Anolis sagrei: one gene and its partners. The protein of the gene in region 4 purifies or fractionates together with the protein of the main gene of each other region. This does not show direct contact. Links are inferred from orthologs where the notes say so. Each region holds a gene or a part of one and is shown on either strand. Other genes may lie near its edges. The genes, in order: VPS41, VPS39, VPS33A and PLEKHM1.

What was found.
Region 1: the proteins of PLEKHM1 (region 4) and VPS41 purify together in Homo sapiens (affinity purification with western blotting; 4 studies listed by BioGRID and IntAct, with this or other methods). This does not show direct contact. The link is inferred for Anolis sagrei from reciprocal best matches to the Homo sapiens genes PLEKHM1 and VPS41.
Region 2: the proteins of PLEKHM1 (region 4) and VPS39 purify together in Homo sapiens (co-immunoprecipitation; 3 studies listed by BioGRID and IntAct, with this or other methods). This does not show direct contact. The link is inferred for Anolis sagrei from reciprocal best matches to the Homo sapiens genes PLEKHM1 and VPS39.
Region 3: the proteins of PLEKHM1 (region 4) and VPS33A purify together in Homo sapiens (affinity purification with western blotting; 3 studies listed by BioGRID and IntAct, with this or other methods). This does not show direct contact. The link is inferred for Anolis sagrei from reciprocal best matches to the Homo sapiens genes PLEKHM1 and VPS33A.

Annotation. Positions count from the first base shown.
Region 1 is NC_090026.1:69,255,562-69,263,564, forward strand, and holds the start of VPS41 (vacuolar protein sorting-associated protein 41 homolog), read left to right. Parts: upstream 1-5,000; 5' UTR 5,001-5,047; coding exon 5,048-5,086; intron 5,087-8,003. UniProt on the Homo sapiens protein: Plays a role in vesicle-mediated protein trafficking to lysosomal compartments including the endocytic membrane transport and autophagic pathways. Acts as a component of the HOPS endosomal tethering complex.
Region 2 is NC_090021.1:287,124,740-287,132,344, reverse strand, and holds the start of VPS39 (vam6/Vps39-like protein), read right to left. Parts: upstream 3,010-7,605; 5' UTR 2,894-3,009; coding exon 2,821-2,893; intron 1-2,820. UniProt on the Homo sapiens protein: Regulator of TGF-beta/activin signaling, inhibiting SMAD3- and activating SMAD2-dependent transcription.
Region 3 is NC_090034.1:31,895,658-31,903,670, reverse strand, and holds the start of VPS33A (vacuolar protein sorting-associated protein 33A), read right to left. Parts: upstream 3,012-8,013; 5' UTR 2,965-3,011; coding exon 2,863-2,964; intron 1-2,862.
Region 4 is NC_090026.1:48,785,894-48,793,054, reverse strand, and holds the start of PLEKHM1 (pleckstrin homology domain-containing family M member 1), read right to left. Parts: upstream 3,020-7,161; 5' UTR 2,919-3,019; intron 1-2,918. UniProt on the Homo sapiens protein: Acts as a multivalent adapter protein that regulates Rab7-dependent and HOPS complex-dependent fusion events in the endolysosomal system and couples autophagic and the endocytic trafficking pathways.

The DNA of each region.
Region 1 (8,003 bases), about 20 Mb from region 4:
TGTGTTGCCAACACAAAATGTTTGGAAAGCTCTGCCCTAAAAGTTGGACTTCTGCAATGCACTGTACATTGGGTTACATTGTGTTACCTGCCACCCCAAGGCTGTGGAATGACCTGCCAGAATAGCTCAAATGGCTAAATGAGTTGCAATTTAAAACTCAGTTGAGAATCCATCTCGTCCAGCAGGCCTACTCAGTCAACTTTCAATCATGAGTTTTGATTTACTTTCTATTGCTACGATATATCAAATCTGTATCTGTGTTTGGTGCATGTTTTCTTTTAATGGTTTTTTATCTATGTGATTAATTGTTCATGTTTTTGTACCCTGTCTCCAATTATCAGGAAAGGCAGATAATGAATAAAATTTGTTATTACTATTGTTGTTATTATGTTATTAAAGGCACCAGATTCTGTCTGATCTTTGACAAGTAAGCAGGGCCAGCCTTGGTTGGTACTTGGATGGAGAGCATCAGTGAATACCAAGGTCTATACTATGCAGGGTGTCCATAAAGTCTCTTTACTATTTAAATTTCTTATTTGATACATAACAAGATTAGTACACAGAAAAAAGATCACTATGCTGGCTTTTGTATTTGATCACACGTCGGACACTTCCCAAGTGTCTAGGACTGTGTGATGTATCGTAAAATAATATGTGCAGATCCAAGTAGGGTGGTCTTTTGCAGCTGACAGATGGTAATTTTGTCAGCCCCAATTGTGTTTAAGTGCAGGCCAAGGTCTTTAGGCACTGCACCTAGTGTACTGATCACCACTGGGATCACCTTTACTGGCTTATGCCAGTTTCTGCAGTTCAATCTTTAAATCCTCATACTATGGAAGCTTTTCGAGTTGCTTCTTGTCAATCCTGCTGTCACCTGGAATTGCAACATCGAGGATCTATATTTGTCCCCCCCCCCCCCCAATGATTGTGAGGTCAGGAGTATTGTACTCAAATTATTGTAATTATTGTTGTTGTTATTGTTTTTAAAGTCACCAGATTCTGTTATTATTCATGCTGTAGTTTTTAGTCATCAGATCCTGTGTTATTATTATTATTGTCGTTTTTAAAGTCACGAGATCTGTTATAGAACTCCAATATGCTGATGACAATGTTGTCTGTGCGCATTCAGAAGACCTACAAGCCACTCTAAACACCTTTGCAAAAGCATACAAGAAGCTCGGCCTATCATTGAACGTTGAGAAAACCAAAGTACTTTTCCAGCAGTCACCAGCCAATCCCTCTCCAATGCCAGAAATATAGCTTAATGGTGTAACATTAGAAAATGTTGACCATTTCCTCTACCTTAGCAGCCACCTCTCCACAAAACTCAACATTGACACTGAAATACAACACTGCCTGAGCTCTGCGAGTGCAGCTTTTTTCTGAATGAAGCAGAGTGTTTGAGTACCGGGACACCTGTAGGGATACCAAGGTGCTTGTCTATAAAGGTATTGTCCTCCCAACCCTGCTGTATGCCTACGAAATGTGGACTGTCTAGAGACGTCACACACAACTCCTGGAACGGTTCCATCAGTGCTGTCTCTGGAAAATCCTGCAATCTCTTGGGAAGACAAGCAGACAAATGTCGGCGTGCTGGAAGAAGCAAAAACCACCAGCATTAAAGCCATGGCCCTCCGTCATCAACTCTGCTGGACCGACCACGTTGTCTGGATGCCCGACTACCGTCTCCCAAAACAGTTGCTCTACTCCGAACTCAAGAACGGAAAACGGGATGTTGGCGGGCAGGAAAAGAGATTTAAAGATGGGCTCAAAGCCAACCTTAAAATCTCTGGCATAGACACTGAGAAGTGGGAAGCCCTGACCATTGAGTGCTCCAGCTGGAGGTCAGCTGTGACCAGCAGTACTGTAGAATTTGAAGAGGCACGAATGGAGGGCGAAAGAGAGAACCGTACCAAGAGGAAGGCGCATCAAGCCAACCCCGACCAGGACCACCTTCCACCTGGAAACCAATGCCCTCACTGTGGGAGAAGATGGAGATCAAGAATAGGGATCCACACTCACCTACGGACCCACCAGAATACTGCCCCTGGAAGACTATTCTGTTCAGACAATGAGTAAGTAAGTACGTAAAGTATTAGTTTTTAAAGTCACCAGATTGTTGTTATTATTATTGTTATTATGTTTTTAATTTCAGCAGTTGGAAGCTAAGGGCTGTTCTATACAGGGTGTCCTTAAAGTCTCTTTATCATTTAAATAGTAATTACTGCTCAAGCAGGGAGCTTTGAGATGGTAGAACAGAAGATTTCCAGAGCTCTAGGTGCTCTTACTGCCTATTAGAGGGAAAACCAACTGATCCCCAACCCATCTAAAACACAGACATGTGCCTTTCACCTCAAGAACAGACAAGCATCCCGAGCTCTGAAGATCACCTGGGAAGGAATCCCACTGGAGCATTGCAGCGCACCCAAATACCTGGGGGCAGGCCCGTAGCCAGGATTTCGATTTGGGGGGGGGGGGCTGAGTTTGTTTTGGGGGGGGGGCGAGTCCGAGTGAAAGAGGGTCTACCCTAGCAAACCTTTTGTATCGTTACCCCAATACCCCCATGCATATGGGATATATTGAGTAGGGTGATCAGATCATGATATGAATAAACATAACAGTTTAAATAATGCACCAGTAAGGCCTTTTCGCAAACCACCATGAGAATTTCAGGGGGGGGGCTGAAGCCCCCCAAGCCCCCCCCCCCCCCCTCGGCTACAGGCCTGCCTGGAGTCACTCTAGACCGTGCTCTTACCTACAAGAAGCACTGCCTGAACATCAAGCAAAAAGTGGATGCTAGAAACAATATCATACGAAAGCTGACTGGCACAACCTGGGGATCACAACCAGATACAGCGAAGACATCTGCCCTTGCGCTGTGCTACTCTGCTGCTGAGTATGCATGCCCAGTGTGGAACACATCTCACCACACTAAAACAGTGGATGTGGCTCTTAATGAGACATGCCGCGTTATCACGGGGTGTCTGCGCCCTACACCACTGGAGAAATTACACTACTTAGCCCAGTGGTTCTCAACCTTCTTAATGTCACGACCCCTTAATACAGTTCCTCATGTTGTGGGGACCCCCAAGCAAAAAAAATATTGTTATTGCTACTTCATATCTGCAACTTTGCTACTGTTATTATGTAAATATCTGATATGCAGGATGTATTTTCATCACTGGACCAAATTTGAATAGTGGTGGGGTTGGGGGGATTAATTTTGTTATTTGGGAGTTATAGTTGCTGGGAATTATAGTTCACCTACAAACAAAGAGCATGCTTTACTCCACCAACGATGGAATTGAACCAAACTTGGCACACAGTTCTCCCATAGCCAACAGAAAATACTGGAAGGGTTTGGTGGACATTGACCTTGAGTTTAGGAGTTGTAGTTCACCTACATCCAGAGAGCACTGTGGACTCAAACAATGATAGATCTGGACCTAACTTGGCATGAATACTCAATATGCCCAAATGTGAACACTGGTGGAGTTTGGTGAAAATAGACTTTGCCATTTGGGAGTTGTAGTTGCTGGGATTTATAGTTTACCTACAAACAAAGAGCATGCTTTACTCCACCAACGATGGAATTGAACCAAACTTGGCACACAGTTCTCCCATAGCCAACAGAAAATACTGGAAGGATTTGGTGGACAATGACCTTGAGTTTAGGAGTTGTAGTTCACCTACATCCAGAGAGCACTGTGGACTCAAACAATGATAGATCTGGACCAAACTTGGCATGAATACTCAATATGCCCAAATGTGAACACTGGTGGAGTTTGGTGAAAATAGACTTTGCCATTTGGGAGTTGTAGTTGCTGGGATTTATAGTTTACCTACAATCAAAGAGCATTCTGAACCCCACCAATGATAGAATTGGGCCAACTTGCCACACCCCTATGACCAACATAAAATACTGTGTTTTCTGATTGTCTTTGACGACCCCTCTGACACCCCTCTCATGACCCCCTCAGGGATCAGAGAATTATGAACTGCACCAATGATAGAATTGGGTGAAACTTCCCACACAGAACCCCCATGACCAACAGAAAATGTTGTGTTTTCTGATGGTCTTTGGCGACCCCTCCAAAAACCCTTCGCGACCCCTGCAGGGGTCCCAACCCCCAGGTTGAGAACCACTGGCTTAGCCGGTATTGCACCACCTGACATCCGCCGGGAAGTAGCAACCAATAGTGAAAGGACCAAGGCAGAGACATCTCCAGCTCATCCCTTGTTTGGGTATCAGCCAGCACATCAATGACTTAAATCAAGAAATAGTTTTCTAAGATCTACAGAGACACTCGCTGGAACACCTCAGCAAGCGAGAGTCCAAAAGTGGCAGGCTCAAACCCAGAATCTCAACCAAATGAGAGACTCCCCCCTGGGCACACAGAGGACTGGGTGACTTGGAAGGCGCTGAACAGACTGTGCTCTGGCACCACGAGATGAAGAGCCAACCCCAAGAAATGGGGCCACAAAGTGGAATCCTAGACATGTGAGTGTGGAGAAGAGGAAACCACTGACCACCTGAGCCCTGCCACATGCACAATGGAGGACCTTCTTGCAGCAACGCCAGAAGCACTCCAAGTGGCCAGATACTGGTCAAAGGACATTTAATCAACTACCAAACTCACAAATTTTGTATTTTGTCTGTTTGCTTTGTTCTGTTAGAAATGTAATATAATTTGACTGGTTGTCCTGACACGACAAATAAAAAATTGAAATAGTAGAACCTGGAAAAACAAAAAAGAGGGAGGAACTGGCAAAAGTATCTCTGAGTATTTCTTGCCTATGAAAACCCTCTGAAACTCAAGGGGGATTTCCTAGGCAAGAGCTGAAGGGACACAAGCCCACTGAGAGTGGCGAGACAGAAGAGCCTGAGCTGCTACTTGCAAGGCGCCTTTCTTCCCGCTCAAATTAAGCCCCGCCCCCCTCCGCGCGTCTACTTCCGCTCCCTTGTGTGGAGGGCAGGCAGCCTGCGGGGCGGAGGAACTACATTACCCGGCACGCTTTGCGGCCGCTTCCTGCCTGACTACCTCACATGACAGCCAGTCTCAGCATGGCGGAAGCAGAGGAGAAGGTAAAGGCTCGGAAGAGTGGTAGAAACTCTGGGTGTTTGTGAGATTAGCGCGTGGCAAACTGAAGAGACGAGGAGAGAGAAAGGAGGCAAATGAGGCAGGGAAAGGGCTAGGGGAGACAAGGAATAGTTTGGGGGTAATTTCAAAAAAGGTGGTTGAATGGCTGGGAAGCGTCGCTCAAGGCCTTCCCAAGAGGACAGGCCTTTGCAGGTGTATATTGGGACCTCCATGAGGCGAACACAGAATGGGACAGGGCAGGCCCCTTGCGTAGAACATGACTACTGAGGCACCACACTCGCCACCTCATCCCATTCAGAGGGGAAAGCATGGGGGACCGTCCCTTTGGAGGTCTGCCTTCCCAACAGACTCACACTGGAAACTTAAGAGCTGGCAATACATTCCTCTTCCATTCACCACAAGATCAAGGTTGCCTTTTTTAAATCGAGAAAAACAACAACACCCAAAATCCAGGAGATCCCTGGCCCTGCCCAAAGCCCCTTACATTAAAGGAGACTGACACCAGTTTAAAACCACTGCTTTCCATGGGATCCTATTGTTTGTTTATTTATTTACGACATTTATTTATTTGTCGTGTCAGAGCAGCCAGTCTATTATATTACATTTCTAACAGAACAAAGCAAACAAACAGAAAAATACACAACTTGTAAGTTTGGTAGCTGGTTAAATGTCCTTTGACCAGTATCTGGCCACTTGGAGTGCTTCCGGTGTTGCTGCAAAAAGGTCCTCCATTGTGCATGTGGCAGGGCTCAGGTTGCATTGCAGCAGGTGGTCAGTGGTTTGCTCTTCTCCACACTCGCATGTCGAGGATTCCACTCTGTAGCCCCATTTCTGAAGGTTGGCTCTGCATCTCGTGGTGCCAGAGCGCAGTCTGTTCAATGCCTTCCAAGTCACCCAGTCTTCTGTGTGCCCAGGGGGGAGTCTCTCATCTGGTATCACTCATGGATTGAGGTGCTGGGTTCGGGCCTGCCACTTTTGGACTCTCGCTTGCTGGGGTGTTCCAGCGAGTGTCTCTGTAGATCTAAGAAAACTATGTCTTGATTTAAGTTGTTGACGTGCTGGCTGATACCCAAACAGGGGATGAGCTGGAGATGTCTCTGCCTTGGTCCTTTCACTATTGGCTGCTACTTCCCGGCGGATGTCAGGTGGTGCAATACCAGCTAAGCAGTGTAATTTCTCCAGTGGTGTGGGGCGCAGACACCCTGTGATAATACGGCATGTCTCATTATGAGCCACATCTACTGTTTTAGTGTGGTGAGATGTGTTCCACACTGGGCCTGCATGCTCAGCAGCAGAGTAGCATAGCGCAAGGGCAGATGTCTTCACTGTGTTTGGTTGTGATCCCCAGGTTGTGCCAGTCAGCTTTCGTATGATGTTGTTTATAGCGCCCACTTTTTGCTTGATGTTCAGGCAGTGCTTCTTGTAGGTCAGAGCACAGTCCAAAGTGACTCCCAGGTATTTGGGTGTATTGCAATGCTCCAGTGGGATTCCTTCCCAGGTAATCCTCAGAGCTTGGGATGCTTGTCTGTTCTTAAGGTGAAAGGCACATATCTGTGTTTTAGATGGATTAGGGATCAGTTGGTTTTCCCTGTAATAGGCAGTAAGAGCACCTAGAGCTTCAGAGAGCTTCTGTTCCACCATCTCAAAGCTCCCTGCTTGAGCGGTAATGGCATGATCATCAGCATAGATGAAACTCTCTGTCCCTTCTGGCAGTGGCTGGTCATTTGTGTAGATGTTGAACATGGATGGCGCAAGCACGCTCCCCTGAGGCAGGCCGTTCTTCTGTTTCCGCCATCTGCTTCTCTGGCCCTGGAACTCAACAAAAAAGCTCCTGTTTTGTAGCAGGTTTCCTATGGTGGTTGAATGGCTGGGAAGCGTCGCCCAAGGCCTTCCCAAGAGGACAGGCCTCTGCAGGTGTATATTGGGACCTCCATGAGGTGAACACAGAATGGGACAGGACAGGCCCCTTGCGTAGAACATGACTACTGAGGCACCACAGTCGCCACCTCATCCCATTCAGAGGGGAAAGCATGGGTGACCATCCCTTTGGAGGTCTGCCTTCCCAACAGGCTCACACTGGAAACTTAAGAGCTGGCAATACATTCCTCTTCCATTCACCACAAGGTCAGGGTTGCCTTTTTTAAATCAAGAAAAACAACAACACCCAAAATCCAGGAGATCCCCGGCCCTGCCCAAAGCCCCTTACATTAAAGGAGACTGACACCAGTTTAAAACCACTGATTCCATGGAATCCTATTGTTTATTTATTTATTTACGACATTTATATGCCACCCTTCTCACCCCGAAGGAGACTCAAAGCAGTTTTCTCTCACTTTCTCTATTTATTTATAATATTTCTCCTTCTCAGTGACTGAGATTTTTTTTAAAATGTGAATTGTGTCCTGGGGATGATGGAAAACAAAAAGAAGTGAAAGTGCCTGTATGGTAATACCTTTATATGAATACCTGGCACAAACACATTTTAATAGTGAGTGTAGTTCTGGTTTGCTATATCCCAAGAAGCATATTGTAGCTCTGGAAAAAAAGAGCATCAACGAATACCAACAAATACGTGTTTATAAAACTTTTTTTAAATGGCCTGAATTGTTGCCCTGTTTTTGTAGCGGGTGTAAGTTCAGGAAGGGCCTTTTCATAGAATCATAGAATCAAAGAGTTGGAAGAGACCTCATGGGCCATCCAGTCCAACCCCCTGCCAAGAAGCAGGAATATTGCATTGAAATCGCCCCTGACAGATGGCCATCCAGCCCCTGTTTAAAAGCTTCCAAAGAAGGAGCCTCCACCACACTCCTTCCTCATGTTCAGATGGAATCTCCTCTCTTGTAGTTTGAAGCCATTGTTCCGTGTCCTAGTGTCCAAGGAAGCAGAAAACAAGCTTGCTCC
Region 2 (7,605 bases), on a different chromosome or scaffold from region 4:
ATTGGCGGGGACGAGGAGCAGGGCCTTCTCAGTGGTGGCCCCTCACCTATGGAATTCACTCCCCGGGGAAATTAGATCAGCGACATCCCTCCTTTCCTTTAGAAGGAAATTAAAAACATGGATTTGGGACCAGGCGTTTGGGCAATCTGGCAGTTAAATAAAGGACTACGATGACGGATAGGAATAGACAATGTGGAATGAAGTATGGACTCTGAGTTGGCGAACGCTGATCATGAGATTGGTTATTGATTGTGATATATATTGATTGTTTTAATTGTTATAACTGTTTAACTGCTGTTTTTATGCGTTTTTGTATTATTGTGTAGGCATCGAATTGTGCCTGTTTGTAAGCCACCCTGAGTCCCCCCTCGGGGGTTGAGAAGGCCAGGGTAGAAGTACACGAAATAAAATAAATAATAATAAATAATAAAATTAATAGAATTAAATATAGAAATATAAAAATTCATAGTTAATATGGCTTACAAAATTATTAACAGTATGTGTATAAGATATATATATGATTTCAGGTTGAGACTTGGGTCCCATCTCTAAGATCACGTGTATATGCTAATACAGGTAATCCAAAACCTCAAACACTGCTGGAGCCAAGCATTTTAGATACAATATTAATATTTTTCGTGTTTATTTTTTTTACTTCCAATATTTAATCCTATTTTAGTGTTTGCGGGTTTTTTTAAGCTTTCAATGGTGTGTTCTATTGTTTTTAGTAGTTGCTGCTTTAGGTCTCTTTTTAGAGAGATAAACAGGGGTAGAAAGAAATATAGTTATACTAATAACAACAACAATATGTTTAGGCTTTCAATGTGTGTTCTATTGTTTTTAGTGATAGCTGCTTTGGATCTCCTTTTTGAGATAAAAGGGGAGTAAGAAATATAATAACAATAGCAAGATGTTTAGACTTTCAATGTGTGTTTCTAGGAGCCCTCGGTGGCGCAGTGGGTTAAGCCCCTGTGCCGGCAGGACTGAAGACCAACAGATTGCAGGTTAGAATCCGGGAAGAGGCGGATGAGCTCCCTCTATCAGCTCCAGCTCCTCATGCAGGGACATGAGAGAAGCCTCCCACAAGGATGATAAAAACATCAAATCGTCCCCTGGGCAACGTCCTTGCAGACAGCCAATTCTCTCACACCAGAATCGACTTGCAGTTACTCAAGTCGCTCCTGACACGACAAAAAAAAGTGTGTTTCTATTTTTTTTAGTGATAGCTGCTTTGGGTCTCCTTTTAGATAAAGAGGGGTAGAAAGAAATATAACAGCAGCAGCAATAGTTTAGTCTTTCAATGGTGTGTTCAATTGTTTTTAGCGATAACTGCTTTGGATCTCCTTTTAGAGAGATAAAAAGGGGTAGAAAGAAGTGTAATCATATGTTTACTTGTTTAGGCTTTCAATGTGTGTTGTATTGTTTTTAGTGATAGCGGCTTTGGATTTCCTTTTGGAGAGAGAAAGAGGGGTAGAAAGAGCAACAACAACATTTTTAGCCTTTCAATCGTGTGTCCTACTGTTCTCACTGATAGCTGCTTCCGGCCTCCTTTTCCCCCTTGACATTAAGTCTAGTCGTGTCCGACTCTGGGGAGTGGTGCTCATCTCCATGTCTAAGTCAAAGAGCCAACGTTGTCCATTGACACCTCCTAGGTAATGTGGCCAGCATGACTGCATGGAGCACCGTTACCTTCCCATTGGAGCGGTACCTATTGATCTACCCACATTTGCATGTGGCAGAAGCTAGGACTAACAGTGGGAGCTCACCCGCTCCCCAAATTCGAACTGCCAACCTTTCGCTCAGCAAGTTCAGCAGCTCATCAACATCATCAACAAAAATGACATAGAATCAGAGTTGGAAGAGACCTCATGGGCCATCCAGTCCAACCCCCTGCCAAGAAGCAGGAATATTGCATTCAAAGCACCCCTGACAGATGGCCATCCAGCCTCTGTTTAAAAGCTTCCAAAGAAGGAGACTCCACCACACTCCGGGGCAGAGAGTTCCACTGCTGAACGGCTCTCACAGTCAGGAAGTTCTTCCTCATGTTCAGATGGAATCTCCTTTCATTTTTAGCCTTTCAGTTGTGTTTTCTATTGTTTTCAGTAACAGCTGCTTTGGGTTTCTTTTTAGAGAGATATATAGGGGTAGAAAGAAATATAATTATACTAATAACATCAACAATATGTTTAGGCTTTCAATGTATGTTCATTGTTTTTAGTGATAGCTACTTTGAGTCTCTTTTTAAAGAGATAAATAGGGGTAGCAATATAGTTATACTAACAACAACAACAATATGTTTAGGCTTTCTCAATGTGTGTTCTATTGTTTTTAGTGATAGCTGCTTGGGATCTCCTTTTAGAGATAAAAGAGGAGTAAGAAGTATAATAATTTCAATGGTGTCTTCTATTGTTTTCAGTGATAGCTCTTTTGGGTCTCCTTTTAGAGAGAGAAAGGAAGGTAGAAAGAAATAAAATAATAACAATAACAATCATATTTTAGGCTTTCAGTGGTGTGTTCTCTTTGTTTTTAAGGATAGCTAATTTGGATCTCCTTTCAGAGACAAAAAGAGGGGGGATAACAACAACAACAACAACCTACAGCATCACGAAAGGGGTGCAGCCACATTCCTAAAAACTAACGCAGTTCCATACCACTTGAACTGCCTGGGCTCAAATGCTATGGAATGATGGGCAGCGAAGGTCTTCAGCTGTTGCCGCCCCAAACTCCCTCACCCCACCTCCTTGAGCCAGGGCAGTTCAAGCGGGGCCAAACTGCGCTAACTCCGCAGTGTGGATGCGCCCTGGGATGGGCGCCACTCACCCCAGGCGGCCAGGCAGTCGATCTGGAGGGGCAGCTTTTCCAGGATGGGCACCGGCTCGAAGGCGTCGTGCATGGCGGCAAAGGCCGGGGCCCCAAGAGGCTCCCTTCCAGCAGCAGAAAGGAGAGCGATGGGGAGCCCTTCCTTCCTCCCTTCCTCCCTTCCAGCTCCGGCCTAGGCTCTGCGACGTTTCCGGCTCCCGCTTCACTTCCGCGGAGAGGCTCCTCCTCCTGATGGAGGTGGATGCCATCCTTCGACTCCTTTATCATCCCTTAGGCAGGCATGGGCAAACTTGGGCCCTACCTCCAGGTGTTTTGGACTTCAACTCCCATAATTCCTAACAGCCTCAGTCCCTTTCCTTTTCCCCCTCAGCCGCTTAAACGACTAAAATAATCAAGGGTCTGGAGAACAAGCCCTATGAGGAGCGGCTTAAAGAGCTGGGCATGTTTAGCCTGAAGAAGAGAAAGCTGAGACTCCACGATGATAGCCATGTATAAATATGTGAGAGGAAGTCATAGGGAGGAAGGAGCAAGCTTGTTTTCTCCTGCCCTGGAGAGTAGTACATTGAACAATGGCTTCAAACTACAAGAAAGGAGATTCCATCTGAACATTAGGGAGAACTTCCTGACTGTGAGAGCCATTCAGCAATGGAACTCTCTGCCCCAGAGTGTGATGGAGGCTCCTGCTTTGGAGGCTTTTACACAAAGGCTGGATGGCCATCTGTTGGGGGTGCTTTGAATGCGATTTTCCTGCTTCTTGGACTGCATGGCCCATGAGCTGATCTCTGACATCACACCAGCTGGGAGGATTCCCTCTCTGAGGCAGGACTATGACATCCACCAGCCAATCACAGAGCGTTCCCCGTTTCCAATGCAGATTTCTGCTCTCCAGTGGCCAACAACAACAACAAAACTTTATTTATATACCGCTCTATCCCCCCAAGGGGACTCAGAGCGGTTTCCAGGTAACATAATCAATACATACAAGAAAAAAGGCATAAACATAAAATTAACAGGGCAGGATGACCAGTTCCAGTCATTTATTCCTGTTAATTTGACCTGGTGTGGGGGGTCATGCTCGACCTCACTTACACGAGATTCACTCAGAAAGGGATGTACACAGCAAGATACACAGCAAGATAGTCACAGCAAGAGAGCATACAAAGAGGGAAGAAAGATGTCACGCAGAGAGAAAGAGTGAGCATTTCACTTTCCACCTGGTGACTTGTCATCACTAAGGGTCCTGAAAAGGTCCGTTGGTTGGTTTGCTTGTTTGGTTGCATGTTGCAAGTCACTTCTGGAGTGAGAGAATCAGCCGTCTACGAAGAAATTGCCCAGGGGATGCCCAGATGCTCCACAATCCTGCGAGGAGGCTTCTTTCATGTCCACCAGGAAATAGCAACCAATAGTGAAAGGCCCAAGGCAGTCCATCCTTTGTTTGGGTGTCAGCCAGCACGGCAATGACTTAAAGCAATAAATAGTTTTCTAAGATCTAAAGAGACACTCACTGGAACACCCCAGCAAGCGAGAGTCCAGAAGTGGCAGGCTCAAACCCAGAACCTCAATCAATGAAAGACTCTCTCCTGGGCACACCAAAAACAGGGCGCCTTGGAAGGCGCTGAACAGACACGCCCTGGCACCACGAGATGCAGAGCCAACCTTAAGAAATTGGGCTACAAAGTGAAATCCACGACATGTGAGTGTGGAGAAAAGCAAAATACAGACCACCCACTGCAATGCAACCTGAGTCCTACCACATGCACGATGGAGGACCTTCTTGCAGCAACACCAGAGGCACTCCAAGTGGCCAGCTACTGGTCAAAGGACATTTAATAGAATATCAGGTCTGCAAATTTTGTGTTTTGTTTGTCTGTTTTTTAATGCAATACCACGGTTTTGGTTTGCTCCTGACACGATAAATAAATAAATAAATAAGGGACAAATGAATGATGCAACCTCTAATCATACATCTCTCATGATTATGACTCATCCGTTTCTACACTCCCCTCTGGTATTTCATCCTACCCCCTCAGTCATTCCCCAGGTGCCTGTCACATGTCCATCAGAACTGTATTTCACACATGAATTAAATGCTCAGGCATTTCTATCCAACATGGAACATTAACTCTGTCCCTAAGCCAATGTTTCTCAAAAATTCTGCTCCTGCAGGTGTTTTGGACGTCATTTTCTAGAAATCCCAGTCAGGTTACAAGCTGTTAGGAATTATGGGAGCTGAAGTCCAAACATCTGGAGGAACAGTTTGAGAAACTCTGCCCTAAGCATTGTGAACCTACAAAAGTCTTCCTTCTTTCATTCACTCCTATTGCCTGAATGTTTGGTATAATGTAGTAGATTTGGAAATAGAAATTCAGATTTCATTTTTAAAACAGAGATACACTAAATTTCAGAAAGAGCTTCATATTCTGGCACGGGCTTTAAAAAAAGTTTTTTAAAAAAATATTTTCACAGAACATCCTAAAGGGATGTGCTCATCCGTGGAATATAGGCTATCCCAGTAGTCCTGTGTCTAGCTAATTGAAATGAATATATCCTTATAGACATGTGCATGTATTTATTTTAGATCAAGGCTAAATGTGTTCAAGCACCCCCCCCCCCCTCCTTGTTCACAGGTTGAAGATTTAATTTAAAATAGGTGAGTTTTTAAATTCCATTTTGAGCCCCTGAAACTTAGGACCCACAGATTTTTCCACCAGAGTTGAGCAATTTCAACTCTGCAAGAACCACAGGTTCAGAAACCTGACATGTCAAGCTCCCCAAATGACCAAATAAAGTACAGGATGAGGGTAAAGAATGGCGGCTTTATTCTCTTTTGGCTGAAAGAGGATGTCAGCAGAGTCTGCACTCCAAAGACTGACGTACCCCAATGTAAACATGGATAACTATTTATAGCACTTCGACAGCAGTTGGAAATGAAGGACTTCTGCAGCCCTGAGTGTCAATTGGTCCATATCATGGCTAGCTAGGATCTGAAGGCTGGTTGGCTGGAGTGTGCTATCTGTCATTGTTGCTGATTGGTCTCCAGGTTAGGAGGGAAATTTAATAAATTGATGTTGCTCAGTTTGAAGTTTTGTGGCTGTTGCTTGTTCCTCCTCTCATGGGTATGGGAAGGGAAAGAAAAGTAGATAGGTTTGAGGTAATGGATGCTAATGATGGTAGTTTCCCGTGTCTTGGTGAGGACACTGGTCCATGCAGGTGAAACAATGGGTAGCAATGGATGTTAGCCAGCCTGAAATGGGTTCCCAGGAGGATGAAGAAAGGGGTTGTGCAACTTCTTTGTTAGATGAAATTACCCAAATTACCTGTCTGAACACATCTCCCACTATGAACCATTGTGGAGATTAAGATCCTCCGGGGAGGCCCTGCTTGCCGTCCCGTCATTGTCACAGGCACGATTGGTGTGGACAAGAGAAGGCCTTCTCGGCGATTGCTCCCCGGCTATGGAACTCCCTTCCTGGTGAGATCAGGTCAGTCCCCTCTCTTCTGTCCTTTAGAAGGATGGTAAAAACTTGGCTGTGGGACCAGGCTTTCGGGACAGGGCAATAAAGCAGCAATAGGAAAGATTACCAGGCCAATTAGATTTGACGTGGATGACTAGAACAGTTTTAAATAGTGTATTTTAATATTTTGATAAATGTTTTTAATGTTTATGTATGTATATAAGAATTTGTGTCCTGGCATTAAATGTTTGCCGCATATATGCTGTGCTCTGCCCTGAGTCCCCTTCGGGGTGAGAAGGGCAGAATATAAACGTTTAAGATAAATAAATAAATGTGTGGAGGCAATGTTGAGGGATTATGCCCACTGCCTGAAGGACGATGGAGTTTTTCTACATCCCTCCGGTGAGTACTTATGAAAGTTGTATGTCCAGCTTAACAGTCATCTGTGGAAGTTAGCTGAAATTAGGTTTAGGGTGAAAGGTCTCATTGGCTATCAAGACCTTTCTGTGGCCAAGGGTTTTGGGGTCTTCCTTGAGATCCCAAGTTTTCAATAACAGTAAGTCACTGCCCAAAAACCAATGATGATGGGATTCATTTATCCTATGAAGGCATGTTGGGGGGAGGATACATCTGATTTTTTTTACCATAAAGATGCAACAAGCCATCACACTGACCTCACCTGAGATATATGATAAGTATCATGGGAGCCTTGCAAACTGATTTACAAAGTAAGATTTCTTTATCTGCAGCATGAACACAAAAATCAGACTGAGGTGGTGAGTTATTTTTTTTTCTGGATGTCTCCAAAAAGAGGTTGGAGAGCTCCCTGTTGAGGATACAGGTGGAGATCCTGTATTGAGCAGGGAATTGGACTTCATGGTCCATACTGCCCTTCAAATTCTATGATTCTGTATGGACCAATACTTGCAAATGCACATTTTTATAGTACCATGCAGCACAACATATTGAAGTATTGATGCCAAAACTGGAGAAGCTGCTCTGAACTGAGCTCTTAAAAGGTAGGATACAAATTTAATAAATAAAAGTCCCAATAAAAATATACCTTGAGCATGGGCTCCTTACACATTTCAAGTTATAAACCAAGTGTTTATAATGGAGAATGTGATCCCAAATGGATATAAGCATCAGAATATGTGAAACCGCAAATTACAATTGAAAATGTTAAAGAGATGGAAAGATTCACTGCCAAAGATTTTATTACGATACAGAACAAAAATCTGCAACTTAAATTGAATCAAATAATCAAGTGATTTGTTACAGGTAAACCCATTACCATACTAAGTACAACTGAAATAAAATTGAGACACAA
Region 3 (8,013 bases), on a different chromosome or scaffold from region 4:
CCGTCTACGAAGATGTTGCCCAGGGGACGCCCGGATGTCTTGCAATCCTGCGAGGAGGCTTCTCTCATGGCGTGGAGGCTGCAAAGATGGCTGAGCAATGACCCCTCACAAACTAATACCCATGCCAACATAAAGGCAGATCAGATAGCACACCAACTCTTGAAGAATGGGAAACCCAACCTTGCCACCAAAGTAGGAAATAAACCAATAGCCAGAGATTGAGAACAACCTTCATGAACTCTTTTACATCTACTGAATTGGACATGGCTCTCAATAAATGTAAAAATGGCAAAGCAGCTGGCCTGGATGATCTACGGATGGAACAAATCAAGAACATTGGTCCAAAAGCAAGGTGCTGGCTGCTGGAGCTGATGAACAACTGCACTGCATCCTGTCAGATCCCCAAAATCTGGAGGAAAGCAAGAGTCATCGCCATCTTGAAGCCAGGCAAAGACCGTAATAACCCAAAAAGCTATAGACCAATCTCCCTGTTGTGCCACCTCTACAAAGTTCTGGAGAGACTTATTTTGCATAGAATTATGGAAAAAATAGACCCATGTCTGATCCCACAGCAAGCTGGCTTCAGGAAAGGCAAAAGCTGCACATCACAAGTGCTAAACCTGACTCAGCACATAGAAGATGGCTTTGAAAGGCAGCAGATCACAGGAGCTGTCTTCATAGACCTGTCAGCAGCTTATGATACTGTGAACCACCGCCTCCTCCTGAGAAAAATGTATAATATCACAAAGGACTACCACCTCACCCACCTCATAGGAAACCTGCTACAAAACAGGAGCTTTTTTTGTTGAGTTCCAGGGCCAGAGAAGCAGATGGCGGAAACAGAAGAATGGCCTGCCTCAGGGGAGCGTGCTTGCTCCATCCATGTTCAACATTTACACAAATGACCAGCCGCTGCCAGAAGGGACAGAGAGCTTCATCTATGCTGATGATCGTGCCATCACTGCTCAAACAGGGAGCTTTGGGATGGTAGAACAGAACCTCTCCAAAGCTCTAGGTGCTCTTACCACCTATTACAGGGAAAACCAGCTGATCCCTAATCCATATAAAACACAGACATGTGCTTTTCACCTTAAGAACAGACAAGCATCCCGAGCTCTGAGGATTACCTGCGAAGGAATCCCACTGGAGCATTGCAGCACACCCAAATACCTGGGAGTCACTCTGGACTATGCTCTGACCTACAAGAAGCACTGCCTGAATATCAAGCAAAAAGTGGGCGCTAGAAACAATATCATATGAAAGCTGACTGGCACAACCTGGGGATCACAACCAGATACAGTGAAGACATCTGCCCTTGCGCTGTGCTACTCTGCTGCTGACTATGCGTGCCCAGGGTGGAACACATCTCACCACACTAAAACAGTGGATGTGGCTCTTAATGAGACATGCCGCATTATCACGAGGTGTCTGCGCCCTACACCACTGGAGAAATTACACTGTTTAGCCAGTATTGCACCACCTGACATCCGCCGGGAAGTGGCAGCCAATAGTGAAAGGACCAAGGCAGTGACATCTCCAGCTCATCCCGTTTGGGTATCAGCCAGCACGTCAACGACTTAAATCAAGAAATAGTTTTCTAAGATCTACAGAGACACTCGCTGGAACACCTCAGCAAGCGAGAGTCCAAAAGTGGCAGGCTCAAACCCAGAACCTCAATCAATGGCTGATACCAAATGAGAGACCCCCCCCCCCCTGGGCACACAGAAAACTGGGAGACTTGGAAGGCGCTGAACAGACTGCGCTCTGGCACCGTGAGATGCAGAGCCAATCTTAAGAAATGGGGCTACAAAGTGGAATCCATGACATGCGAGTGCGGAGAAGAGCAAACCACAGGCCACCTGCCGCAATGCAACCTGAGCCCTGCCACATGAACAATGGAGGACCTTCTTGCGGCAACACCAGAGGCACTCCAAGTGGCCAGATACTGGTCAAAGGACATTTCATCACCTACCAAGCCTGCAAACTCTGTTTTGTCTGTTTGTTAAAATGTAATACAATTGTCTGGTTGATACTGACACAATAAATAAATAAATAAATAAATAGTGACCGTAATAAAGTTTTGTTGTTGTTACTGAAAATATATAATATATAATGACATACTGCATTACTGTATATTGGCGTATTTGAAGTTGTAATGTTTTTGATTACGAGCCGCTTGGAGTCTTCATGTGGAGAGATAAGGAGGGATATTAAAAAGGTAAAGGTTTCCCCTTGACATGAAGTCTTGTCCTGTCCAACTCTAAGGGGTGGTGCTCATCTCTACTTCTAAGCCAGAGTCTGCACTGTCCATAGGCAACTCCAAGGTCATGTAGCCAGCATGACTGCATGGAGCGCTGTTACCTTCACGCAGAAAAGGTACCTATTGATCTACTCATATTTGCATGTTTTCAAACTGCTAGGTTGGCAGAAGCTGGGGCTGACAGCGGGAGCCCACCGCACTCCCCGGATTCGAACCGCCAACCTTTTGGTCAGCAAATTCAGCAGCTCAGTAGTTTAACCTGCTGCGCCACCAGCAGGATATATAATAAATATAAATAAATAAAACCCAGTTCAAAGCAGATAATGTGGGATTTCATACAGCTCTGTAGAAGGGGCCTAAGAAGAGACCCCCAGAGGCCATATTGCTTAGACACAAGGGGCGAGTAAGAAATGAGATGAACGAATAGTCATCGCAGATGTGGGCCTATGTGCCTGTGAGGTCGGGATAAGCGTCGTGTGTGGACGTACACGGAGGCAGGCCAGCAGAGGAGGCCTTCCTCGGCCCCAAGACGGGGCAGGAGGGCGGGGAGAGGCCTTGAGGGAGGAGGTCGTCTCTGGAGGGGAAAGGGGCCCCGCGCTCACCTTGGAGCCCGCGCATTTGTCGAGGAACTCGCGCAGCTCCTTCCGCCCGGCCTCCCGCAGCGCCATGAAGTTGACGCGCCCCGCACTCAAGTGCGCCGCCATGACTGGCGCTCTCTCGCTCTCTCTCTCTCTCTCTCTCTCACACACACACACACACAGCAAGTGGGTCACGTGACGACGAGGGGGCAGGGCCCTGCCTCACGCGCCAGAACGGGGCGCTGAGGCGGGGCACGTGACTGCCTCTCCTCCCCCGCCTCTTTTGTCCCTCACGCGGACCTTGAGGCCTTCGCTTCCACAGCCCCCCCCCCCCCCAGTGGTCCTGATTGCCCATTAGTCCCCAGCCCTCCCACTTTCCTAGTTGGGGCTCAAATGGCCCAGTTCCTCCTTCCCTCCTTCTGCTTCAGCTTGTCTCAGTGGCTTTATTTTGGTGTCAGGAGCGACTTGAAAAACTGCAAGTTGCTTCTGGTGTGAGAGAATTGGCCGTCTGCAAGGATGTTGCCCAGGGGACGCCTGGATGTTTTGGTGTTTTACCATTCTTGTGGGAGGCTTTTCTCATGTCCCCGCATAGAAAGCTGGAGCTGACGGAGGGAGCTCAACCTGCTCTCCCCAGCTGCGACAATATCTCACGAAGCCAGACCAGACCACGGTGGTCCACGCCTTAGTTACCTCTAGATTGGATTGTTGCAATGCACTCTACGTGGGGCTTCCCTTGAAGACAGCCCGGAAACTTCAATTGGTCCAGTGCTTGGCAGCCAGACTTCTAACTGGGGCGAATTACAGGGAGCGGTCAACCCTCCTGTTTAAGAAGTGCCATTGGCTGCCATTTATCTTCCGGTCCCAATTCAAGGTGCAGGTTATTACCTACAAAGCCCTGAATGGTTTGGGACCCACCTACCTTTGTGACCACATCTCCTACCACAACCCTGCACGATCTCTTCGATCCTCTGAAGAGGCCCTTCTCTCACCTCTTCCCCTATCACATGCTCGACTTGTGGGAATGAGGAAGAGGGCCTTCTCCGCTGTGGCCCCCCTGCTTTTGGAACACGCTACCTAGGGAGATCAGGCAAGCCCCCACCCTAGCTACTTTTAAGAAAGATTTAAAAACCTGGTTTTTGCGATGTGCCTTTGGAGAGTGACCACTCAACCCATCTGGTCGTTTTAACCTGTAACTGCCCTCAGAATATAGCACCTTCCCCTGTCCCCTACAAAGGCCAAATCCCACTACTTCTCCCTGTCGGACTCCTCTCTTACAAATGCACTTTTATCCCTATCTTGCCCAGGGTTTTAACTTTTTAATATTTTACCTCATACATTTGGCCTGCCCTCTGTGTCTGATTTTATCATGCTATTTTATATTGTTGATTTTATTTGTTATTTAATATTTTGTTATGATGTATTTTTGTTACTGTGTTTAACTATGTTGTATTATTTTGGGCTTGGCCTCATGTCGACATGTCAGTCTTCAGTCCTGCAGGCACGAGGGTTTAACCCATTGCGCTACCAGGGGCTCCATGCCTCAGTAGCTGCAGAGGCAGTTCTGAGGGCAAACATCATCATCACTGGCAAACCCTTGTGTCCGAGTAAGATGGCCTTCCAAGCATTGGGTCTTGGCGGTGTGTCCATAGGTGACTGTGGCCCCTTTCACACAGCTGAATAAAAGCTCACATTTTTGCTTTGAATTTATTTATGTATTTATTTCCTAGATTTCTACCCTGCGCATCTCATAGAATCATAGAATCATAGAATCAAAGAGTTGGAAGAGACCTCATGGGCCATCCAGTCCAACCCCCTGCCAAGAAGCAGGAATATTGCATTCAAATCACCCCTGACAGATGGACATCCAGCCTCTGCTTAAAAGCTTCCAAAGAAGGAGCCTCCACCACACTCCGGGGCAGAGAGTTCCACTGCTGAACGGCTCTCACAGTCAGGAAGTTCTTCCTCATGTTCAGATGGAATCTCCTCTTTTGTAGTTTGAAGCCATTGTTCCGCGTCCTAGTCTCCAAGGAAGCAGAAAACAAGCTTGCTCCCTCCTCCCTGTGGGGACTCATCACAAAGGGGACTCAAGTTTGGCAAGATTTGATGCCGCATTACCAATATAAATAAACAAATAAACACATGGAGTAATACAAACAGATAATATATAAATACAATTCAAAGATTTTGAAATATTAAAAGATTACAAGCATAGTGCTTAGACCCGTAGTCATAGTTACTGCTGCATTCCGTATTGCATTATTCCCCAAATGCGTGGTGCCACAGATAGGTCTTCAGCTTTTTCTTGAATGTGAGGAGAGATAGGGACAGTCTAATCTCGCTGGGGAGGGAGCTCCACTGCCAAGGGGCACCCACTGAGAAGGCCCTATCATCCCCACCAATTGCGCCTACAAGAGGGATGGAATCAAGAGCAGGTGACCTGAATGCTCTAACCGGTTCATAGGGGGAGACACATTCTGACAGATAATTTATTTATTATTTATTTATTTACCTTACTTATATACCGCTGTTCTCAGCCCGAAGGCGACTCACAGCAGTTCACAACAAATACGAACAGCAAAAATTCAGTGCTACAGTATAAAAACAGTTAACAACCTAACACACTACACAATTAATAAACAATTACTACAATACCCATTCACTGTCGTCTCATCATCAAAAACATGTTCCAGATTCGTCATCCATTGTTCCATTCCAGTGTTCATTAACCAATCATTACACTAATTATTCGAACGCCTGCTCAAACGGCCAGGTCTTCACTTTTTTGTGGAATACCATTAGAGATGGTGCTAGTCTAATGTCCGTAGGAAGGGCGTTCCACAGCCAAGGAGCCACCACCGAGAAGGCCCTATCTCTCATCCCCGCCAGCCGTGCTTGAGAAGCAGGCGGGATCGAGAGCAGGGCCTCCCCGGAAGATCTCAAAGTCCTGGTGGGTTCATAGGCAGAGATGCGGTCGGATAGGTAGCTTGGGCCGGAAACGTTTAGGGCTTTAAAGGCCAACGCCAGCACTTTGAATTCAGCCCGGTAGCCAGTAGAGTTGGCGCAGCAGGGGGGTTGTATGCTCCCTGCGCTCCACTCCTGTTAAAATCATGGCTGCCGAGCGTTGGACTAGTTGGAGCTTCCGAGCTGTCTTCAAAGGCAACCCCACGTAGAGAGCGTTGCAGTAGTCTAAACAGGTTGTAACCAGAGCGTGGACTACCGTGGCCAAGTCAGACTTCCCAAGGTACAGGTGCAGCTGGCACACAAGCTTTAGCTGTGCAAATGCTCCCCTGGTCACCGCCGAAACCTGGGGTTCCAGGCTCAGCGATGAGTCCAGGGTCACACCCAAGCTGCGAACCTGCGTCTTCAGGGGGAGTACGACCCCATAGAATCATAGAATCAAAGAGTTGGAAGAGACCTCATGGGCCATCCAGTCCAACCCCCTGCCAAGAAGCAGGAATATTGCATTCAAATCACCCCTGACAAATGGCCATCCAGCCTCTGCTTAAAAGCTTCCAAAGAAGGAGCCTCCACCACACTCCGGGGCAGAGAGTTCCACTGCTGAACGGTTCTCACAGTCAGGAAGTTCTTCCTCATGTTCAGATGGAATCTCCTCTCTTGTAGTTTGAAGCCATTGTTCCGCGTCCTAGTCTCCAAGGAAGCAGAAAACAAGCTTGCTCCCTCCTCCCTGTGGCTTCCTCTCACATATTTATACATGGCTATCATATCTCCTCTCAGCCTTCTCTTCTTCAGGCTAAACATGCCCAGTTCCCTAAGCCGCTCCTCATAGGGCTTGTTCTCCAGACCCTTGATCATTTTAGTCGCCCTCCTCTGGACACATTCCAGCTTGTCAATATCTCTCTTGAATTGTGGTGCCCAGAATTGGACACAGTATTCCAGATGTGGTCTAACCAAAGCAGAATAGAGGGGTAGCATTACTTCCTTAGATCTAGACACTATGCTCCTATTGATGCAGGCCAAAATCCCATTGGCTTTTTTTGCTGCCACATCACATTGTTGGCTCATGTTTAACTTGTTGTCCACGAGGACTCCAAGATCTTTTTCACACGTACTGCTCTCGAGCCAGGCGTCCCCCATTCTGTATCTTTGCATTTCATTTTTTCTGCCAAAGTGGAGTATCTTGCATTTGTCACTGTTGAACTTCATTTTGTTAGTTTTGGCCCATCTCTCTAATCTGTCAAGATCGTTTTGAATTCTGCTCCTGTCCTCTGGACTATTGGCTATCCCTCCCAATTTGGTGTCGTCTGCAAACTTGATGATCATGCCTTCTAGCCCTTCATCTAAGTCATTAATAAAGATGTTGAACAGGACCAGGCCCAGGACGGAACCCTGCGGCACTCCGCTCGTCACTTCTTTCCAAGATGAAGAGGAAGCATTAGTGAGCACTCTCTGTGTTCGTCCACTTAACCAATTACAGATCCACCTCACCGTAGTTTTGCCTAGCCCACATTGGACTAGTTTCCTTGCCAGTAGGTCATGGGGGACCTTGTCGAAGGCCTTACTGAAATCCAGGTACGCTACATCCACGGCATTCCCCGCATCTACCCAGCTTGTAGCTCTATCGAAGAAAGAGATCAGATTAGTCTGGCATGACTTGTTTTTGATAAATCCATGTTGACTATTAGTTTCTAAGTGTTTGCAGACCGCTTCCTTAACAATCTTTTCCAGAATCTTGCCCGGTATCGACGTGAGGCTGACCGGACGGTAGTTGTTTGGGTCATCCTTTTTTCCCTTCTTGAAGATTGGGACCACATTGGCCCTCCTCCAATCTGCTGGAACTTCTCCCGTTCTCCAAGAACTCTCAAAGATGGTTGCCAATGGTTCCGAAATGACTTCCGCTAGTTCCTTCAGTACTCTTGGGTGTAGTTGGTCTGGCCCTGGGGACTTGAACTCATTAAGAGCGGCCAGGTATTCCTGGACGACTTCTTTCCCAATTTGGGGTTGGATGTCCTCCAATCCCTCATCCACTCCATCTTGCTGAGGTTGAAGACTCTCTTTTTGTGAGAAGACCGAGGCAAAGAAGGCATTAAGTAGTTCTGCCTTTTCCCTGTCCCCTGTCAGCATTGCCCCATCTTCTCCTCGAAGAGGTCCTATCGCCTCCTTGTTTTTCCTTTTTCTACTGACATAAGAATAGAAGCCCTTTTTATTGTTTTTAAT
Region 4 (7,161 bases):
CGGAATTCAGACAGACAGAGTTCTGGAGCACAATACCCCTGGCCTCACGATCGTGTTAAAAAACAAAGTATGGATTATCGATGTTTCAATCCCAGGTGACAGCAGGATTGAAGAAAAATAACTGGAAAAGCTGACACGATATAAGGATTTAAAGATCGAACTGCAAAGACTCTGGCACAAGCCAGTTAAGGTGGTCCCACTGGTGATTGGCACACTGGGTGCAGTGCCTAAAGACCTTGGCCTGCACTTAAACACAATCGGTGCTGACAAAATTATTTATTTATTTATTTACTTAGAACTTTTATATCCTGTTCTTCTCTACCTCTGTGGAGGGACACAGAACAGCTAAATTAGCATTTGTCAGCTTCAGAAGGCCACCTTACTGGGATCTGCATGCATTATTCGCCGATACATCACATAGTCCTAGACGCTTGGGAAGTGTCTGATGTGTGATCCAATACAACAGCCAGCAGAGTGATCTTGTCTGCTGTGGACTCATCTTGTTGTGTTTCAGTTTATAATAACTTTATTTACACCCCATCCCATCTCCCTGAGGGGACTCTGAGTGGCTACCATGTAATCCTGATTATCAAAACAGATCATCCATATTGTCTGCTTTGAACTGGATTATATGAGTCCATATTCAGAAGAAGATCTACAAGCCACTCTAAACACCTTCGCAGAAGCATACGAGAAGTTCGGTCTGTCACTGAACATCGAGAAAACCAAAGTGCTCTTCCAGCAGTCACCGGCTAATCCCTCTTCAATTCCAGAGATACAGCTTAATGGTGTAACATTAGAAAATGTTGACCATTTCTGCTACCTTGGCAGCCACCTCTCCACCAAAGTCAGCATCGACACTGAAGTACAACACTGCCTGAGCTCTGCGAGTGCAGCATTTTTCCAAATGAAGCAGAGAGTGTTCGAGGACCGGGACATCCGTAGGGACACCAAGGTGCTCGTTTATAAAGCTATTGTCCTCCCAACCCTACTATATGCCTGTGAAACATGGACTGTCTACAGACGTCACATACAACTCCTGGAACGATTCCATCAGTGCTGCCTCCGGAAAATCCTGCAAATCTCTTGGAAAGACAGGCGGACAAACGTCAGTGTGCTGGAAGAAGCAAAGACCATCAGCACTGAAGTAATGCTCCTATGCCATCAACTCCGCTGGACCGGCCACGTTGTCTGGATGCCCGACCACCATCTCCCAAAACAGTTGCTCTACTCTGAACTCAAGAATGGAAAACGGAATGTTGGTGGACAGGAAAAGAGATTTAAAGATGGGCTCAAAGCCAACCTTAAAAACTCTGGCATAGACACTGAGAACTGGGAAGCCCTGGCCCTTGAGCGCTCCAGCTGGAGGTCAGTGTGACCAGCAGTGCTGTAGAATCTGAAGAGGCACGAATGGAGGGCGAAAGAGAGAAACGTGCCAATTATTATTATTATTAACTTTATTTGTACTCCGCTAGCATCCCCCGAAGGACTCGATGCGGCTTACAATGCATCAAAACACAACATAACAATACAAAACCTAAGCAAATTAAAAACAATTAAAGCAGTATTAAACAACAAGCAATAAACAATAGACCAAGACACAATAAAACTGGGCCGAGCCAGTTTTAAAAAGTGCTGGTGTGACAGGTGATATGTAAGGATTATAGGGTAAGTGCAGTGTGTAACAATCTTAATTCTAATAAAGTGCTTCTGGGACTTGTTATTGGAGAGGAAGGCGCATCAAGCCAACCCCGACCGGGACCACCTTCCACCTGGAAACCAATGCCTTCATTGTGGGAGAAGAAGCAGATCAAGAATAGGGCTCTACAGTCACCTATGGACCCACAAGCAGAGGCGGCCCTAGGTAATTTTCAACGGTAAGCAAACAGTATTTAGCCCCCCCCCCCCCCAACCAATCACTGATATATATTTTCTGTTCATCATGGGAGTTCTGTGTGCCATATTTGGTTCAATTCCATCATTGGTGGAGTTCAGAATGCTCTTTGATTGTAGGTGAACTATACATCCCAGTAACTACAACTCGCATATGTCAAGGTCTATTTTCCCCTCAAGAGCACCCCTGGGCAAAATCAACTATACTGCGAATGCATACTTTGCGTAATGGATTGAGCCGCCCCTGCCCACAAGAATACTGATCCTGGAAGACTATCCTAAGTAAGTAAGTAAGCAAGCAAGTATGAGTCCACACTGCCACATAATCCAGATCAAAGCAGATCATCTGGATTTTATATGGCAGTGTAGAAGGTCCCTATGATGGCAGCTAATTACACAACCAAACAACAGCCACACAAAATTTATTACAGTCCATAGACCCATCAGTAAAACCAACAATCATTATAAATTATAGTCAGGAAATTCTTCCTAATGTATAGGTGGAATCTGTTTTTTTCCTGCAATTTGAGTCCTCTGGCAATCACAACCTATAGAAACAGCCCTCTTTGGGCTCTTCTTCTCAAATCACCAAAAAAGGAGTGATAGGTTTGTTCATTCTGCAGTCCAATCAGTGATTCCCAAACTCTCCTCCTCCAGGTGTTTTGAACTTCATCTCCCAGAATCCCTGATGATTGACCAAGGCAGCTGAGGCTTCTGGGAGTTGAAGTCCAAAACCATTTGAGGAGAAGAGTTTGGGAATCACTGATGGACTGCAGAATCAATGCAGTTGGACACCACTTGAGCTTTTAGGTTTCAGATTGTATTGGTTTTACTGTATTCTGCTTTCACCACCCCCTGAACAGGCCTCCCCCTTTGTCTGGCTTCTCCCAACCTGTTTCCCCCTTCCAGCCAGCCTCTCCCCCCACAGAACCGGCCTCGACTCTTCCCTAGGAAGACCCCACTCTCCTTGGCCCAATTTCTCCCCCTCGAGGGGCGGAGCTTCGGGAGAGGAAGCTCGGACTCACCTGCTCCGCAGCGCGACCCCGACGAGGCAGGACTGGGGAAACCCCGGAAGTGAGTGAGCCCGAAACAGCTGCAGCGCCGAGCGGGAGCGCGCCCTCTGACGTCACCCGCCCCGCTCTGAACCACAGAGACAGGAATTATAGAGAGAGCTCTGAAGACTCCAGCAATACATGGAGAGAGAGTTGCCAGATGGACAAGCTGGGTTTAGAAAAGGCAGAGGAACCAGAGACCAAATTGCCAATATCTACTAGATAATGGAGAAAGGCAGGGAGTTTCAGAAAAACATCTATTTCTGTCTTCTTGACTACTAGCCGTCCCCTGCCACGCGTTGCTGTGGCCCAGCCTGCTAATCTGGAAAATAATTAGAAAGGGTTGGTTTCTAATATATGTAATGTCTTTATGCATGTGGGTAAACAGTATTTCTTGCTGTGTCTTTGTCAGTGTTGATGTGGAGATTGTCTGGTTTGCCTACTCTGGAACATGCAACATAAAATTGTGCATCAAATCTATTATTATTATTATTATTATTATTATTATTATTAACTTTATCTATACCACGCAAAATCTCCCGTAGGACTCAATGCGGCTTACAAAGGCCAAGGCCGCCAACAATCAACAACATACAATACACAATAAACTCAAAAGCAAATAATAAACATCAAGCAAAACAATAAAACAGTAAAACAATGACCCCGTGACACAATTAAAACCAAAGGCCGGGCCAAATGTAATGGACAAAAATTAAAATGCTGAACTTGACAGGTAATATGTAGAGGTATATGGAGGTACTTGCAATGTGCAGATAATCCTGAGTCTCTAGCAAAGTGCAATTGGGGCTTGAAACCAGGAGTTTCCTATTCTGGAAAGGCACACTGGAACAGCCAGGTCTTCAGGCTCTTCCTAAAGACAGCCAACGTTGGGGCTTGTCTGATGTCCTTGGGGAGAGAGTTCCAGAGTCAGGGGGCCACCACAGAGAAGGCCCTGTCCCTCGTCCCCACCAAACGCGCCTGCGACGCAGGTGGGATCGAGAGCAGGGCCTCTCCAGATGATCGAAGGGAGCGTGCGGGTTCGTAAACGGAGCCCACACCAGAGCTCCCTGTCGGCTGTCACCACCCCCAGCTCCATCTGAATCAAGCCAGTCACTTCAAGGATGCTATCCATCCATCTTGCCTTTGGTTGGCCCCTCTTCCTTTTTCCTTCCATTTTCCCCAGCATCATTGTCTTCTCTAAGCTTTCCTGTCTCTTCATGATGTGGCCAAAATATTTCATCTTGGCCTCTACTAGCCTTCGCTCCAATGAGCAGTTGGGCTTTATTTCTTGAAGTATGGACTAGTTGGATCTTCTGGAGGTCCAAGGCACTCTCAGAACTCTCCTCCAGCACCACATTTCAAAAGCATCTATTTTCCGTTGCTCAGCCTTCCCTAAGGTCCAGCTCTCACATCCATAGGTTTCTATGGGGAATACCATTGCTTTAACTATGAGGATCTTCATTGCCAGTGTGATGTCTCTATTCTTCACTATTTTATCGAGATTGGACGTTGCTTTCCTCCCAAGAAGTAAGCGTCTCCTGATTTCCTGGCTGCAGTCTGCGTCTGCAGTAATCTTTGCACCTAGAAATACAAAGTCTGTCACGGCCTCCATGTTTTCTCCCTCTATTTCCCAGTTGTCAATCATTCTTGTTGCCCTAATCTTGGAGTTTTTTTTATGTTGAACTGCAACCCAGCTTTTGCGCTTTCTTCTTTCACCTTGATTTGAAGGCTCCTCAGCTTCTCCTCACTTTCGGCCATCAAAGTGGTATCATCTGCATATCTGAGGTTGTTAATGTTTCTTCCAGCAATTTTCATCCCAGCCTTGCATTCATCAAGCCCCGCACATCGCATGATGTGTTCTGCATACAAGATGAATAGGTTGGGGGAGAGTATACAACCCTGCCGCTCGCCTTTCCCAATCTTGAACCAGTCTGTTGTTCCATGGTCAGTTCTTACTGTTGCTTCTTGGTCCTTGTACAGATTCCTCAGAAGAGAGACAAGGTGATTTGGTATGCTCATACCACTAAGAACTTGCCACAATTTATTATGATCCACACAGTCAAAGGCTTTAGAATAGTCATATAATCATCGCCATATAATCCAGTTCAAAGCAGATGTGTATTTTTACAGCTGTGTAGTTTACAGACTTAGTTTCTCCGATTTATGGTGACTCCAAGGGGATCTATACTGCCATATAATCTAGTTTCTGAATCCAAATTATCGTTTTTGAGCCGGATTATACCCATCTACATCACAATATAATCCAATGTCCGAGGCCCCTTCTACACTGCCATATAAAATCCAGAATATCTGCTTGGAATTGAATTATATGGCAGTGTGGACTCATATAATACAGTTCCAAGCGGATCATGTGGAATATCTGCTTTGATAATCTGGGTTATGTGGCAGTGTAAAAGTGGCCTCACTTTAAACTCAGAAACAGGTCTTGATCTCACACACTAAACCATTTTGTCTCCTGAGCATGGAGATGCATCTCTCTATTAGTTCTTAAATCTGTGCTTGAAACAGGCAATGGGCGGGGCAAAGGGAACAGCGACGTGATTGGACAGACTCCAGACAGTCGGGTCTTCCTCCGGCTCTGTTGCTTCCGCTCTCACCCTATTTTGTTTTCTTCGCCTGCCTGTCTTTCTAGGGCCCGCCTACTCCCGCAGCGATTGGTAGAGACACAGAAATCCAGTGATTTCATTGGATGAGAGCGGGAAAAAACAAACAGAATGTTTAACTATTCCCCTTCCTGGTTTGTTGTAGGTTTTTCGGGCTGTATGGCCATGTTCAATCTAGAAGCATTCTCTCCTGACGTTTCGCCTGCATCTATGGCAAGCATCCTCACAGCCTCAGGCCCTTTCCTTTTCTCCCTCAGCTGCACGGCTGCTGCATTCAGATAAGATCACTACTGACCAAAAGGTCATGAGTTCAAAGCCAGCCCAGGTTGGAGTGAGCTTCCGACTATTGTGTAGCTTGCTGTCGACCTTTGCAGCCCGAAAGACGTTGCATCTGGAGCCCCCTGTGGCGCCGTGGGTTAAACCCTTGTCGCAAGTTCGAATCCAGGGAGAGCATGGATGAGCTCCTTCTATCAGCTCCAGCTCCTCATGCGGGGACATGAGAGAAGCCTCCCACAAGGATGATAAAACATCTGGCCGTCCCCTGGGTAACATCCTTGCAGATGGCAAATTCTCTCACACTAGAAGCAACTTGCAGTTTCTCAAGTTGCTCCTGATACGACAAAAAAAAATCTGTTAAGTAGGAAATTTAGGTACCGGTTATTTAACTAATTTACGATGGAGCCCCCAGTGGCGCAGTGGGTTAAAGCCCTGCGCCGACAGGACTGAAGACTGACAGGTCGCAGGTTCGAATCCGGGGAGAGGCGGATGAGCTCCCTCTATCAGCTCCAGCTCCTCATGCGAGAAACCTCCCACAAGGATGATAAAACATCAAATCATCCAGGCATCCCCTGGGCAATGTCTTTGCAGACGGCCAATTCTCTCACAACAGGAGCGGTCGCTCCTGACACGATAACCCCCCCCCCCAAAAAACCCGTAATTTATGATGCCATAAAATCTCCAGCAAGCTAGCAAAAGAATGAGGAAGTACTCCATCAGTGTCACAAATGCTCAGTGAAGTGACAGCTCCTCTGGTGGCCAGAATGCCCTCACGAAAGCTGGAAAGTTAATTAGCCTCTGTCTATATATGTTGTGTGCTATATATGTGTCTGTCTATATATGTTGTGGTCTATGACATTGAATGTTTGCCATGTATATGTACAGTGTAATCCACCCCGAGTCTCCTGCAGGGTGAGATGGTCAGAATAGAAATACTGTAAGTAAGTAAATAAGTAAATACTCATATAATCCAGTTCAAAGCAGATCATGTGGATAATCCAATTAAATAATCTGGATTATATGGCAGTGTTAAAGGGGCCTAGAATACATCTACACTGTGAAATTAACACATGCCATGCATTTCAGTGCTATGGAATTGTGGGGATTGTAGCTTTACAAAGACTTCAGCCTTCTCTGCTGGAGAATGCTGGTTTCCCACCACTTCGATGATTCCACAGCCATAGCAATAAACGTGGTATCAAACTGCATTAATTCCACAGTGTAGATGGATCCTGTGTCTTAATCACGACCCCATCCATTTCTCAAGAGTTTTCTTAGGCAAGGAATACTCAAGAGATGGTTTCTGACAGTTTTCC